Rhinolophus ferrumequinum: one gene and its partner. The protein of the gene in region 2 interacts with the protein of the main gene of each other region in a pairwise test. Links are inferred from orthologs where the notes say so. Each region holds a gene or a part of one and is shown on either strand. Other genes may lie near its edges.

Evidence for each region.
Region 1: the proteins of WASL (region 2) and RHOJ interact in binary tests that used the Homo sapiens proteins (3 or more experiments, as listed by UniProt). The two-hybrid records come from large-scale screens. The link is inferred for Rhinolophus ferrumequinum from reciprocal best matches to the Homo sapiens genes WASL and RHOJ.

The regions. Positions count from the first base shown.
Region 1 is NC_046289.1:32,317,137-32,324,136, forward strand, and holds the start of RHOJ (rho-related GTP-binding protein RhoJ), read right to left. Parts: upstream 3,011-7,000; 5' UTR 2,596-3,010; coding exon 2,349-2,595; intron 1-2,348.
Region 2 is NC_046309.1:20,783,324-20,790,390, forward strand, and holds the start of WASL (actin nucleation-promoting factor WASL), read left to right. Parts: upstream 1-4,025; 5' UTR 4,026-4,369; coding exon 4,370-4,489; intron 4,490-7,067. UniProt on the Homo sapiens protein: Regulates actin polymerization by stimulating the actin-nucleating activity of the Arp2/3 complex. Involved in various processes, such as mitosis and cytokinesis, via its role in the regulation of actin polymerization.

The DNA.
Region 1 (7,000 bases), on a different chromosome or scaffold from region 2:
AGGGACAGACTCTCTTTGACTTGAACTACAATTTCCTGAAGACTCTTAGTAAACCAGTTGTAGGTTGTCATTTCAGAACGGGCTGATTGGACCCAGGGCCTAGATACGGGATACTTCTCCATGTGGAGAAAAAAAGCATTTTTTTTCCTTCTTTTTCTTTTCTTTTCTTTTCTTTCTTTCTTTCTTTCTTTCTTTTTTTTTTTTACAATTGATTGTAGATTCTCATGTGACTGTGTAAGGACTTATGTTTTATTAGCTCATATATGGGGGGGATGATGGTAAAAGGAACTAGAGTCGTTGTGACGGAGGAGATCTCTCTACTAATGAACGTGTTCACTTCATTACCATCCTAGATGTATGAGGCTCATGTCTTCATTTCCTTTACAATCTAACTGAAAGCACGTGAAAAGATGATGTACTTAAAAAGGTACAAAGTGTAAATTAAAGCAACAATGTTTGGGAATGCCTACTGTGTGACAAGTATTGCTTTGGATATAGTGGCTGTGATTTCTTGACAGCTAAAATCGTAGAGTAGCCAAAATCTTTAAGATGCTTGGATAGATAATAAATATGTACACAATTGAAATATAAAAAAATTTGACCCTAGTGGAATCTCGTAGTGCTTCAGCCTTTGATCTTTAATATGTATTTTTTTTTTAATAGGCTGACTTTATCTCTAAAGATGGTTTTATTCTCTTTATCCCTGACATTACATTGTAATTGGTTCACCCAATAGATAGGGTGAGACACGTAATTTTCAAAAGCACTTGAAACCTCTCCTTTTAGTAGATTTTAGGTTTCATATTTGATCTATTATAAATGTTTTTGAAATTAGGTACCAGCCAGGTTCCCTTTCCTGGAGGAAAGAGGGTGTAGAATAAATAAATTTTGCTAAGATCTTTACAGGTCAAGTAGCCTAGTAATTTTCTTAAGTCGCAGACACCCTAATGTTATAATTTGCTTTTTTTTTTTTTTTTTTTTTTTAAAGGTAAAAGTCTACCTGTTCTTCTCTTTATTCTGTTCTCATAAAAATTTTCTTCTCTGGGCACAGTCATTATATTTTCAGAACAGCTGAAGGGAGCCAACATTCAAATTTGCTCTTAATTTCTACAAATATAGAAAAACCTGCTGGGAAATGGATACTATGATTCTCTCCCTGTCTGCTATGTAATATTATCATAAATCATGTAAATGTAGGAGGAGGAGGGGACTTAGGTGATTGTTTAGCTCTGGAAAAGAAGCTACTTCCTGCAGAAAGAGGATTTCAAAAGGCCACATAACAAAGCCAGCACTCACACAGGTTTCCTGTGGGTCGTTTCCCTTTTGCTGAATCTCACCCGAAGCCAAGGTGACGGAAGAGACATTTTCCTCTTACAAAATCTCAAATCTCAGATAATTTATCGAGCTGATCACTATGTTCAAAAAGTTATAAAATCTAGGCTATTGTGAACTTCTGAAGAATTTTATGAACTTTTAAGAAGTTAATAAGATTTGTTTTGGAAATTAAGAGAAAAAGTAAGAGTCAAAATGGAAAAACTTAGATAAGCTATCACACTGATAAGCTATCACACTACAAACTTTAGAACACTGGAAAACTATATACCTGAAAGAATTAAGTTGTGACTATAGTATCTTAACTGCCATGATTTAAAACATTTTATCCCCAATTTTGTCCTTTTGGGACATACTTGAAAATGTTTCAAATTTGATTTTTAATCTTTATTTTTACTTTTAAAAACCTATAAAAATGTTTCTTTTCCTTCAAAATACAGATTGCCTAATAGATATTTAAAACCTTTTAATACTTCCCCCCCATGCATAACCCCAAGAAAATGAAAGTGCAGTAGTAATAGTACATCACCAATTAATATAGAAAAATGAAGGTTCTAATGTTTATTAATCTTAGCATTTTCATTTATGAATGGCCTGAAATGAATATAGGAAAAGTGGCACGAACTCTTGTTTCGCCTGTTATTGTGGTTAGTGGTGATTTTTTTTTTTTTTTGGTAAAAATTGTGGTATAATTACACTACATTTTAAAATGTTCACAATAAAAAGTTGATAAATATGAGGCAAATGGCCCCAAAACCCAGAGGACATTTCAGGGTATTTCCCCCATGTTATTCACTTGATTTAAGAAGGGAAAAGTGTTACAGTACAAATTGATGTACAAATTGTTCTAATAATTCCAGCAAAGCCCTTGGCTGTATGTTATGCTAAGCTACCTGGCTAGTTCTAGGCCCGTACCCAATAGTGACGTTAGACGCGAGCTAGGCCCCTGTGAAGTTGGGTGTCGCCCCCGTATCACTCACCCGGTCTGCAGGGGTAGGTTTTCCGCCTTTTCTTACCTGCATAGTGGTCAAACACGGTGGGCACATACTCCTCTGGGAAGGCATCATTGGCGTAGCTCATCAGCAGGCAGGTTTTCCCCACAGCACCGTCCCCCACCACCACACACTTCAACATCTTCTTCTCTTCTTCGGTGCCCCCGCAGCTGCAGCTGCTGTCATTTCCCTCCTTGCAGTTCATTCTTGCGGCTCCAGCTGTGGTGACTGAGCTGCTGCTGTTGCTTCTCCTGCTTCTCGCAAAGCCCATGGAGCAGCGGGCAGCCAGCGGCAGGCTTGAGATCACTTTGCCTTACTTTGGGTACCTGGGATCATACAAATTCGTCCTTGGCAGCTGGCATATGCCCTCTTGCTTATCATACTGGTAAGGAAAGTTAACACACACACTGACTTGGGAGAATTATTCAAAGGGACTGTCCCTTTTCCCTATCAGTTTGAGTTAAGAAACCCTCATTTTCACTGAATTCTAGGGATTTCCTGCCAATCTGGAAATTTCAACAGCTTGAGGGTTTCACTCTGCTCTCCCCCTTTCCAGCCTGGCTGAAGACACAGTGGAAGTTTGCTGAATCTTCCCCATTTTCCACTTCACATCTAACATGGAGGAAAGCTGGGCTTTTTAATGGAGTTTTCCCCTTGCTTCCTCCAGCTTGCCGAGTGTCAGGAAATCATGGGTTTCCTGCTGCATTCCATATTAGGATCAGTGGGCTGGGGAAGGCTGCAACAATGGGAGCTCTGTGTGTGTGTGTTTGTACTTCTGGGGAACGCTGCCAGAACATGGAGTGGGAAAACACTAGGGGTCCCAAAGCAGACTCAAGCTGTCAGGCTTCCTGTTTCGCGTCCGCTGCTGGGGGGGCTGTTTGCCTGTGGCTGGCTGGGAAGAGGCTGACGAAAGGATGGAAACTGGGGAGTACTGTCTGCCAGAGAAACGGGAATGGTTTAAGTGAGCAGAGCGAACCACACCAGCCGTTGTAGGATAACATATGACATCATCCCTCACTGAGTCACCAGTTAAAAGTTCTGCAAATTAAAAATGGACAGTTCTTCACATACTTAAATGAAAACCTTAAGCAATTCGTCCCTACAATAAAGAAGAAAACCAACACACAAGGGGATTTATAGATGATGTAATACAGAATTGTACACCTGAAATCTATGTAATTTTACTAACAATTGTCACCCCAATAAATTAAAAAAATATATAGTAATTTGTAATATGAATGATAAATCATGCAAATACAGTATTTTGCAAACTATCAAAAAAAGAAAAAAAGAAAACCTCCCAGAGTTACACTGTTTCAAAGGGGAACATTCTTGTAGATTGTAGGTATAATATGTGTGTTCAGGATTATACATTGCCACAGTTGAGCACAACACTCAAACAAACATGTGTTCCAGGCACAAACATTTTTATGGTTGTAGCACATAAGAAATCAGTCAGATGTGGGATATTTGCATCTTCTTATTAGTGAATAAACACACATGTGCTTGGCTCACCCTTACTCTTGGAAATGCGTGTGGGGGATGGCTTTATTAGTTTGTTTTAGGTCCCCAAATGCTGCTTTCACTTTGACGGTTCCCTTTTTGATTTAGTCCTATCCCCTTGGGTCAGCCTGGCCCTCTTCAATTACAAAGGAGCCACTGGCAGCTAATTTATTTGTCTGTTGGGTCACTCAGAATGAAGCCCCTTTGAAGCTCTGCATTTAATTAATGCACTTGGTCTTAGAAAAGAAGTGGAACTCTGCAAATGATTTTGACAATGGGTCAAGTCCCTTTTTGATGAAGGAGCTCTCTGTTTCTTTGAGATTTTTGAGCAGTGATTTTTAAGAATTCAGATTATCCAATTGATTTGAGGAGGGTTTTTAATTTTTTTTGGAGAGGGTGGGAGAGAAGTCTATTTTGATATGTGACTATTGATAATATACATGTATATATGTATACATATATGTGGCTATATATACATATATATGCTACTGTATAATAAATATAGGCCTAAATTTCTTCTGTTTTGAATTATAGTAACATTTACCACAGTGCTTAGTGTCCCAATATTTCTTTCCTAGAACGGGTTGATGTTTCAGTCAGGTTGTGGTATATCTACTAGGAGGTTATGTTGTTGTAACAACTCCCAAGGCTCAATGATTTAGAATAGCATGTGTATTTCTTAGTCACATTGTATCTGTATTGTGTTTTTTTGTCACCTTCATTCAGAGATCTAGGCTGGTGGAGCAGTCACGTTGAGACCATTGGGGGTTACTGTGGGAGAGGAAGAAATTAATGTGGTGAAGTGGCATTGGCTCTTAAAGCTTCCTTCTGGAGGTGATGCTTCTGCTCTCATTCATTGGCCAAAGCAAGTCATGTACCCATGCTGGGTTCAGCAGGGTCAGAAGTATAATCCTACCATGCTCCGGGAAGGAGAGAACTACATGTTGATGAATAGCCTGAATAGATTAGATATGGCTTAGGTAACCAGAGATCATTTAGTTGAGGTTCAATTAGGAGCGCAAAAATTGAATTGTTTATGATTGGTGCCATTCTGAGGCATTTGAAGACACCTGTGGCTGCATATGATTTATATAACTTTAGTTTCATTTAATCTACCTGAAAATGCCTGAAAAGTAGGCTCAAGTGTGCAAGTGGCAGCCAAACAAATCTGTGCAGGTGAAGAAGTGATTGACAGTGTCAAGAACTCCATCCTGAAGATGAACAAGACCACTCTGAGCACAATGTGTTTGGCAGAACTTTGAGGGAGTCTGCCTTTGACCTTGTCCCTGAGATCAGACAGTAAATGTGGCATGGAGTTCTCAAACATGGCTGCCCAGCCTGGATTCCTATACTATGAATATGCCCCTGCCCACTGAACCCTGGTCTAGGAAAAAATTGAAAAATTGGATCAGGTGAAATTTTGCTACATCCACATCTAACCTAAACCTTGTGCCATCAGACACAGGTGTTCACGTTTATGCAGATTGCTACGTGGACCATAATTTCAGAGACGTTTAGAAAACTTGAGGCAGCCAGTTATGGGTCTTTCACCTCTGGCTCAAAGGATTGGTACGTCTGCTGGATTGGATTGTATGCAGAGGTGGTTTGTGGCTATTGAGAATGTTGGCTATATTTCTCAAAATAAACTTGCTTCTTTATTCTTACTGCCCCCCAAATTGAATATGTATAGGGAAAAATGATTGAGACAGCCTAGAGAAAAATGGCAAAAAAGTTAAAATGTTAATAGCCTACTTATTATATAGCTCACCTTGTCTACGTGAGAACAAATATTTCTAAATATTAAATGATTGACCTGAACCCACAGTAACAGAATCTTAGAAAAAAGTTAAACACAATTCAGTATTGTTCTTCTAGGTCCACGAGTCCATAGAATTGTGACTACTTGTCCAGGTAGAATGATCAAGTATCTACTTTAATTCCAAAGGTTTATAGATAGGAATTTAGAAGTGGTTTGAAGACAATTTGCTAAAATATTCTTTACGAGATGCCTGTACTTTTAGGATCTTGGGCCATTTGAATGGTTGAGTGATGGTTTTATAGCCATTAATTATTTGGTTTACCTCAAGCACCAAGTTTACACAAACTTGCCAGTACATGGTGAAATCTTATTGGGCGGTATTTCCTGCTTTTTCTAAGAGTTCTTAATTCCATGGCTCCTTCTTGTCCTCTGAGCTTTGGCTTCACATGAATTTCCCCAAATGCCAACAGAGCATTTTTCTGCATAAAATTCTGACTCCTCTGATTGCTTCCAGTTTTATTGTGACCTAAAAAAGAGCCCAGACTTTCCTCCCCTATTTTTTTTTCTTTTGTGCTTGAAACTCAGTTATACAGGGAAATAATGCTGTTGGATCAAATACTCTCATTCTGGATTAGCCTCTATGTAGGAGATCGAGTTTTAGGAATGTGGGATGGGCTGTGCTTACTATGAGTCCGGATACCCAGCTCTGTCACAAGTCACCCTCATTTCAGAGGAACCCCTCTGTGGTGCCTGTATGGAAGTCAGGCCTTTCATGGCGGTGGATATGGTGTGAGGCAGGAGGAGCTGCTAGCGTAGAAGTTGTGGCCTGAATCTCCCACTGGGCCGAAACCTCAGGATCAGTTGGGGCACTGCTCAGACTGAACAGGCAGTCCTAGGACTAGTGTGGATAGGAACTGCCCCTCCCCAGGGGACAGTGAGTCATTGTCATCAGGGGCACTCATCCCTGAGCCTTTCCTTAACCTCAGAAATAATTCTACAGTTGATGCTGGTGTAACATAGCTCCTCTCACAGTTACGTTAGAAAAATAAAATGAGCATTTTGAGAAGTAGAGGGTTTTTCTATGAGGCAGTAGGGTAAGCCATCAAATTCAAGATGGTAGACTCTGCTCAAATGCTACCATTCTCCCCTTCAATGCCAGGGTAAATGTCATCATGACACATGTTCTAGCTGAATCTGGACATGGCTGACAAAGGCCTCTCAACCCAGCGCTCCAGGCGTCTACCACAATCTGATGGGCATGTCAAGTAAATCCTTTTCCAACCCTGCTCAGCCTTCACCAGACAGAGCAAGTAACTCTTCCTGTAATCAAGGAGGAAGGAGAAACAGTCGGTGGGCCATCTAACATTTAATGAACAACATGTTGTTATATGTTAGGCACTGTGCCGGAAAATTT
Region 2 (7,067 bases):
ATAAAGGCATGCATTAGGTATCTGGAGAGTAGGCCATATCGTGGTAGTTACCATCACTGGTAATTCACTACCATAAGTAAGAATTTAATGTTCCACTAACACTAAGAAATCAGAATGGGTTGTAAATAAACTATCCATTCCTAAAAAAGAAAGTCCCAAAGAGGCTTGTATTCAAAATGAATTGAAAAGGGAGAGAAAAACAGTTTGGTAGCTTACTTTTCAAGATTTCAGTTGATGACAATTAAAATACTTAACATATAACTTGGGAAAACAAGTACCAAGACAAATTCTCTTAAACACTGCCACATGCAACATTTACATGAAAATGTGAAGATGTTTTACAATGTGAACATTCTAAACCCATGACACTTGAAGGTTGCAAGGGAGAAGGGACAATCACCCCCTTGCCATATCCGCGCTCGCTGCTGTTGTCTCTATAACTCAGTTCTGCCAGTCAAGCAGTAATAGTTAAGTCAGTCCTGCTAATTGGCCACGGCTGCTGAATGCCAAGATCCCTGGGTGCAGCTGCCTCTATATTCCCCTACAATGATGGGTGTCACTACAGTTTAAATTATTAATATTAGCAAGGGGAACAGGGTGTTTCAGAGGACTTGTAACAGTACATAAACAATGATATTTGTAAAGAAGTAAAGTGGATTAACAAAGGACCAGGATAGGAGAAATTTACAATGTATAATAACGGCAGGGAATGCATCTGAAAATATGCCCTCCTTTCCATAAATAAGGTATCCTAATGTTTTGTTAAAAATGAGGACTGTAGTTTAAAGGATCGTAGCAAAGAAAGAAGAAAATGAAAGTACTAGAATAGATTCTGAATCAAAGAAAGTCAAGTGGAAGAACTTTTAAAAATTGCCTTATTCTTAGTTGTATTCATAATACAGCATGTGCATTTTACAGGTATATGAAGATAGAATCCCTACAGTATTCTTAACCTAGGTTACAAACTTCAACATACTCACTTGAAGGGAAATAGAATCCTTCTTATTTCCTGGATCAAATCCAATTTCTCAAACTGGGTAAAAAGAATTTGAGATAAGAAAATAACTTGCCAAAGAAAACAGAGAGAAAGATGTCTTGTGTTTGGCTGAAGAGAGGATATGCTATCAAGAATGAAAGAAAGAAAGGACTTGCTAAAACTTTTCGAACAAACAGAGCCAGTACTGCTTGGTCTCACGATGAACATGGAAAAATAGAATCCTTGTATGCATAGGAAGGGGGATAACCCCAAATATTGTCTGTGCACGTGTCCCAAAGAATAAGGAAGGCGCATTTAGTGTTCACACTTATATTTTCCACATTTTAAGAACAAGGAGTCGAAAAAAGCCCAGATGAAAGCAAAAGTAACAATGAAGGAGTTGAAAATAAGAACTTAGACTGTAATTTTGTGGACAAAATACCATATTTAAAATTTTGAGGAAAAGCTAAAGAAGCAGTTTGGGCTTGAGAAAAAAAGCCTGTGGTGGTTATAATTTTCCATCTTCATTTCTAAAGCAAAAAAGAACCGGGCAAATGGTCAGAAAATTTCACTTAGAAACATAAGATTTTAAAAATTTTCTCAAAGGAAAAAAAGTAATTAAAACAATAAACAGTTTAGGCTAACAAGAGGTTGTGAAATGATTAGAAGCCAGTGATTCTCCATGTGGGATAGATTCTTCAACGCATAGCTACTGTCCATTCACCCATCCTCCCGTAGCTTCTTTTTCACAGCCCTCTTCCACATCTTTCTACTATCTTCAAAATGGTTTGGTGGACTACAAGTTTTAAAAGCGGGCATTCCAACATAAAAATTGCTCTCATTCACTTTTTATTAATTAGAAACTAATATGATTCTGTCTCTAGATTTCTCGTTTTAAAAGCTTTGTAATTTTGGCATACTGAGAACATAGAGCCTATGTGACATAACATATACCCTAATTAGAAATTCTGCAAACACAAAGTGATACCCCAAATTCACTATGTATTTGGAGAATGACGCAGAGTTCTAAATAGGAAGGACAGTTTTCAAAGTATCAGGTTTAGATAGAATAACGATAAAAACACCCATTTCAACTCAACTCTTGAACCTTTAGCTAAGGGAAGGTAAGGTAGACCATAGGTAATGATGGTGAGTGACAGACAAGTAATATTTGAGTAACCATGATGTAGCAGGTACTTTACATTGTAATCCTGGTAAGTTTTACAACTTTGAGGTAAGTTTAATTATGTTTATACTATACCTTTATTAAATAGAAATTATTTTCTATTTTACAGATGAGGAAACTAAGACTTAAGAGAAGCAACTTGTCCAAAGTCCACAAGGTTGTAAATGGCAGAACAAGAACTCCAACTTAGGCCTATGTGAAGCCTTTATTTTTGTTACTATCCTGGTTTGAAAATACTAAGGATCTAATTTCTATCATTTCTCAAGCATTTCTAATGCTTTCCACTATTACTGCGGTTTTAATTTATAGGAGCCTCAAGTTTGATACAAGACTAACTGCTTTAGCTTCTAGGTTATTTTATTAGCTCTGTAATTCAGAGGAAACTCCAGGTTGACATTTCTACTATTGTTTTTCTAAACTGAATTATTTTATTAAAAGTCCACTCGCTTTTTAAAAAATCACATTTTCCCTAACGTTATTAATCAAATGTAATTTTGAAATGTCCATATTTTGTGTGAGGACTCCCAGGACTACATGACCGCATTTACCTTTGTCAATTTGTTCCCACTTAACTTCATTAAGGGCAGTTCTCAAGTTTCATATTTTCAAAGTGCACTGATAATGGCTTATCAATCTGTTTAGTACATCAGAGATTTGTATTGGAAGCTCTCAGAGATGTTAAAATCAATTAGTTTCATCCAATTTTATTTGGCATAGGATGGCTTAAATTTAATATATGGGAACTTTATTGAAATTGAGTAATTAGCAAACATGATGGTTCAAGTTTATCCAATAAATGCTGATTTGTTTAAAGGGGAGAAGTCAGATGTTTATTCTAATTCACTGTTGTGGGTAGTATTTATCATTTCCATATTCCAAAACTTCGTTTTAAAAGTTGAACATTAAATTTATTGAACAGAAGAGTTTATCTTGGGTAACTTTCAATATTTGGAGGTATACGAGTTTTTCTTTTTTTTTAATTCCTGAGATTTACTTCTGACGATTAAACCAGATGATGTATTTTCCTGTATGGCAGACATCCCCAAACGGGCACAGTCATTTTGGATAAGAAGAAAACAAGGTCTTCGGGGTTTGAGAGAAACAAAAAGATGAGAAGCGAAAAAAGGAATATTTTTCAATTCACAAGACAGGGGTTAAAAGGCGTGTTCAGGACCCTTAAAAGAAAAGATCTTGGATTTACATGTGACAGACACACTCATCCGATGTGAGGAGACGCCAGGCGGACGGTAGAAATCTCAAGTGCGTTTGTTTTTTGTAACGTCCATCAGCAAGATCTCCCTTTCACAATGCTGGGTGAGGCCTATTTGTTCCTCCACTCCCACTATTGAAGTTTGGACAGAGTTTAAGAAATCCCAGGCACCTGCGGCTCTGACCGAAACCGGCGAGGAGCACCGGGGACCACGTCACTTCTCTTCAGTGTCCCGTGTCCGCATTCCAGACTTTCTTGCCGTGCGGTGTGAGCGTCCCGGTTTCCGCGCCCCAGAAATCAGAGCCATTCCGGGGAGGGGGCCTGGGTCCGCACAGACTCTTCGCAAAGGTCGACGTCTGTGAAAGAGGGACCGGCAGCTCGGGGCCGGGGCCGAGCGTCCTCTGCGCTCCAGACAGCAGCCGCTGGGCCGCAGCAGCCGGGAGACGACAGTAGAGGCTGGTCCCGCACCCCGCACCACAGCCTCGCATCAGACCGCGCAGCCCGCGCCTCGGCCGGAAGGGGCGGGGCTCGGGGCCGGCGCGGCGAGGCCGGCGGCGCGTGCGGGGGGGGGCGGTTCCTCCCGGGCCCGGCCCGCAGCCGAGTTTCCGGCGCGCTCCCCCGCGGCCTGCGTCTTGTGGTCTCGCCCGCCCCCGCTGCCATGTTGGATTGTGCGGCCGCCGCCGCCGCCGCTGCCGCCGCCGCGGGAGGAGGGTTGGAGGAGGAGTTGGGAGTTTAGCGCAGTCGCCGGAGTGCGAGGGCAGCGACCATCCGGCCAGAGCCCAGCCGGGCGGGAGTTGGGAGCTTCCCTTACTCCGCGCGGCCCTCCGTCGGCTCCTCCTTCCCGTGGCCTCCCTCCTCCTCCCCGCGCCGGAGGAGTTGAGCGAGATGCTGCGCCTCTGACTCCCCTCCTCCCGCCCCTGTCACCGAGAGGGGGGACGAGCGCTCGCCCACTCGCCGGAGGACACGGACCTGGACTCCCAGCCCCGCCGGCGACACCATGAGCTCCGGCCAGCAGCAGCAGCAGCCGCCGCCGCGGAGGGTCACCAACGTGGGGTCCCTGCTGCTCACCCCGCAGGAGAACGAGTCCCTCTTCACCTTCCTCGGCAAGAAATGTGTGGTCAGTGGTCGAGACCCGCGTCGCCACCACCGACGTTACCTCACGGGCCCGGGCCGGGAAGTGGGAGTGGGGATGGAGGCGGGAGCGGCGCGGGGAGGGTCTGGCTGCTGGCCAGGCCTTCTCCCGGCCCCGCACGGGCGCCCTGGCCCCGCTCCCTAGGTGCGGGCAGTGCGGGCCCCGGCAGCCGAACGCCGCCACCCGGAGCTGACCGGCAGCAGGGAAGTGTCACCTCCGCAGGCCTGTCTTGGAGCCCTGCTTGGCCCGGCCCTCCGCCCTTGCTGCTGGTGCAAACTTGACTCTCAGGCCCAAAGGCGATTTTCTTGCACGAGCTGCTGGATCTTAGCAACCCGGCCCCTGTCCTGGCCTTCGCTTCACCTCCTCCCGCTTGATCGGGGGGTCCCCTCCGTCACAGTGCCAAAGGTTTCAGGAGTGGTTAGGTTAGGAAATGAAACCCAGATATGAATGAAGCGGACCACACGGTGGTTTCAGTTCCCCTTTAGGATCTCAGGAGGGAATGCTGTGCAGTGCATGGGTGCAAAAGGAGGGCAGGAAATGCTACTGTACCCCACTGCAGAGAAACGGTTTGTTTCTCCAGCGTTCTCGCCCAGGCCTGATTTCTACTGTCCTCCCCACTTATTTATTTATTTTTGCATTGGTGGGAGGAGGCACTGCGCTCCCCACTGCCATGCGCAGGGGAACCGCAATCTCTAGTAGTTCTTGGCCTTTTGGGGCCGGAGAACGATTCTTAGATTGGTGGTGTGCGGCCTGTTCCGACCCCAGATGGCGGGTTGGGAGCCAGCAGTTCTGCTGTGGGAAGGGGAATGTGTGTTGTTGACGGAAGCATTCATTACATTGGCTGCCGGCGCTCCTGGGGGTGGGAAGGTTCTGCCCTGTGGTGTAGGCCTTGTCAGGCTGCATCTTACTGCGGTGGCTGGGTTGAACTGTGGTTGAGTTTGTTGCAACTGCTGAGTCCATTTCTTGCCCCTTTGCTTGTTAGCACCTGCAGAATATGTGCCGCTGGAACCCAGGAAACACCTACAGAAATGTCAACAGAGCAGTTTTACAACTTTTCTTAGTAGTGTTAAATATGTCAAACCAGGCTACACCTGCTTGTTTAAGAAATTAGAACTAGACAGTTTCTGGAAAGTTACCGGATTAATTGTTAACTTTATAGGTGGGAGTCTACCCTTTGTGTTCTGTCCCATCCAGTTGGGGATTGAACCATTTATTACAGGCGATTCAGATGTGTTTCATATTTCAGAAGTTAGACCTTAAAGAACATATTTGGAGTTTACTGATTAGAAGAATTAAATAGGAGTGGCTTAAAATCAGAATTTAGGAAACAACTGTAAAGATATTCAAGTTTCCCTCCCCCCCACCAGCTTTTTTAAACAAATGAGAAAGCTGAGCCAGTGAGCCCTAAGTCACACAGCAATTTAGTAATGTAACCAGAACTAGAAAACCAGGACTCCTGATGCCTAGCCTGTGTACTTTCCACTACATCATGTTGTTTGAGAACGGTTTGTTCTCCCTTGTTATTATTTCTAAAAGTTAAAGAAATAATCATTTTTTATTTTTTTTTTTTTACCAACACCAGATAAAATTAAAAAGTGTGAGATTCTTAAAGCAGCACTAATTTTTGCATATGTTCAATTTAGGAAAATCTCCAGCACTTTGAATGTTAAATTATCTGCAAAGAAAAAAATAATTAAAATTTTGCTGATTTATTACATTTGCTATGTAATCTGTGTCAGAAAGGAAGTAGTTTGTGACTGTGTTTTACATACCAGACACATTAGCTTTATGCAGGAAGGACGTTGGATTTATATGCAAGTATACTTACTAATAGCTTTGTGCTTACCTGTACTGTTTACTGGTTTCAATAAATGGCAGGTGTGGAAGAATACTGTGCTAGAGAAAGAGAGTGTTGCTTATTGGTTAGTGTGAGTTGGTTGCTGAATAGGCTTTCTGTATTCAGGGCTCAATTTCTTTATGTCATCTATTATTAATCAACTTTACCTTTTGAATTTCTGTCATATAAAACCACACTGTTACCTGCTCTTCTGGTATGAAATTATTTCGAAGATAAACTTCAATATTCGACCTCTCCGGTTATTGGAGAGTAAAGTAAGAATGATGTATTAATTTTTTGGAACCATCTTTTTTTCCCTTTGATGACTATGCAGTTTTTGTAGTTAAAACAGTACTGAAACACAGTTTATTTAAAAAAAAAAAAATCCAGCAATAAGATTTACAGATCAGACCACACTTACATTTGTTAAGCAAGAAGTATATTCAGAATCGTAGTCATGGTGCCAACTCTCAAGGAGTTTCATTCCTTCTCTTACTCAACAAATAAGTATTGAGTAACTAAATGCTGAGGTCAAAACCAGGGTTGATGCCTGCCCTCAGGGAGCTTACAGTGTTTGAAAAGGAAAATGTGTAAACTGATGAGTAAGTCAGTTCTTCAGAGTGATGTGTAAGAGGTTGCATGTCACATTGGAAAATGTCTTTGTTTTGTAGTCAGCAGATGGGGGTTCAAATTTATATGGTCACTTTGGGCAAGTTTTTTAAGCTC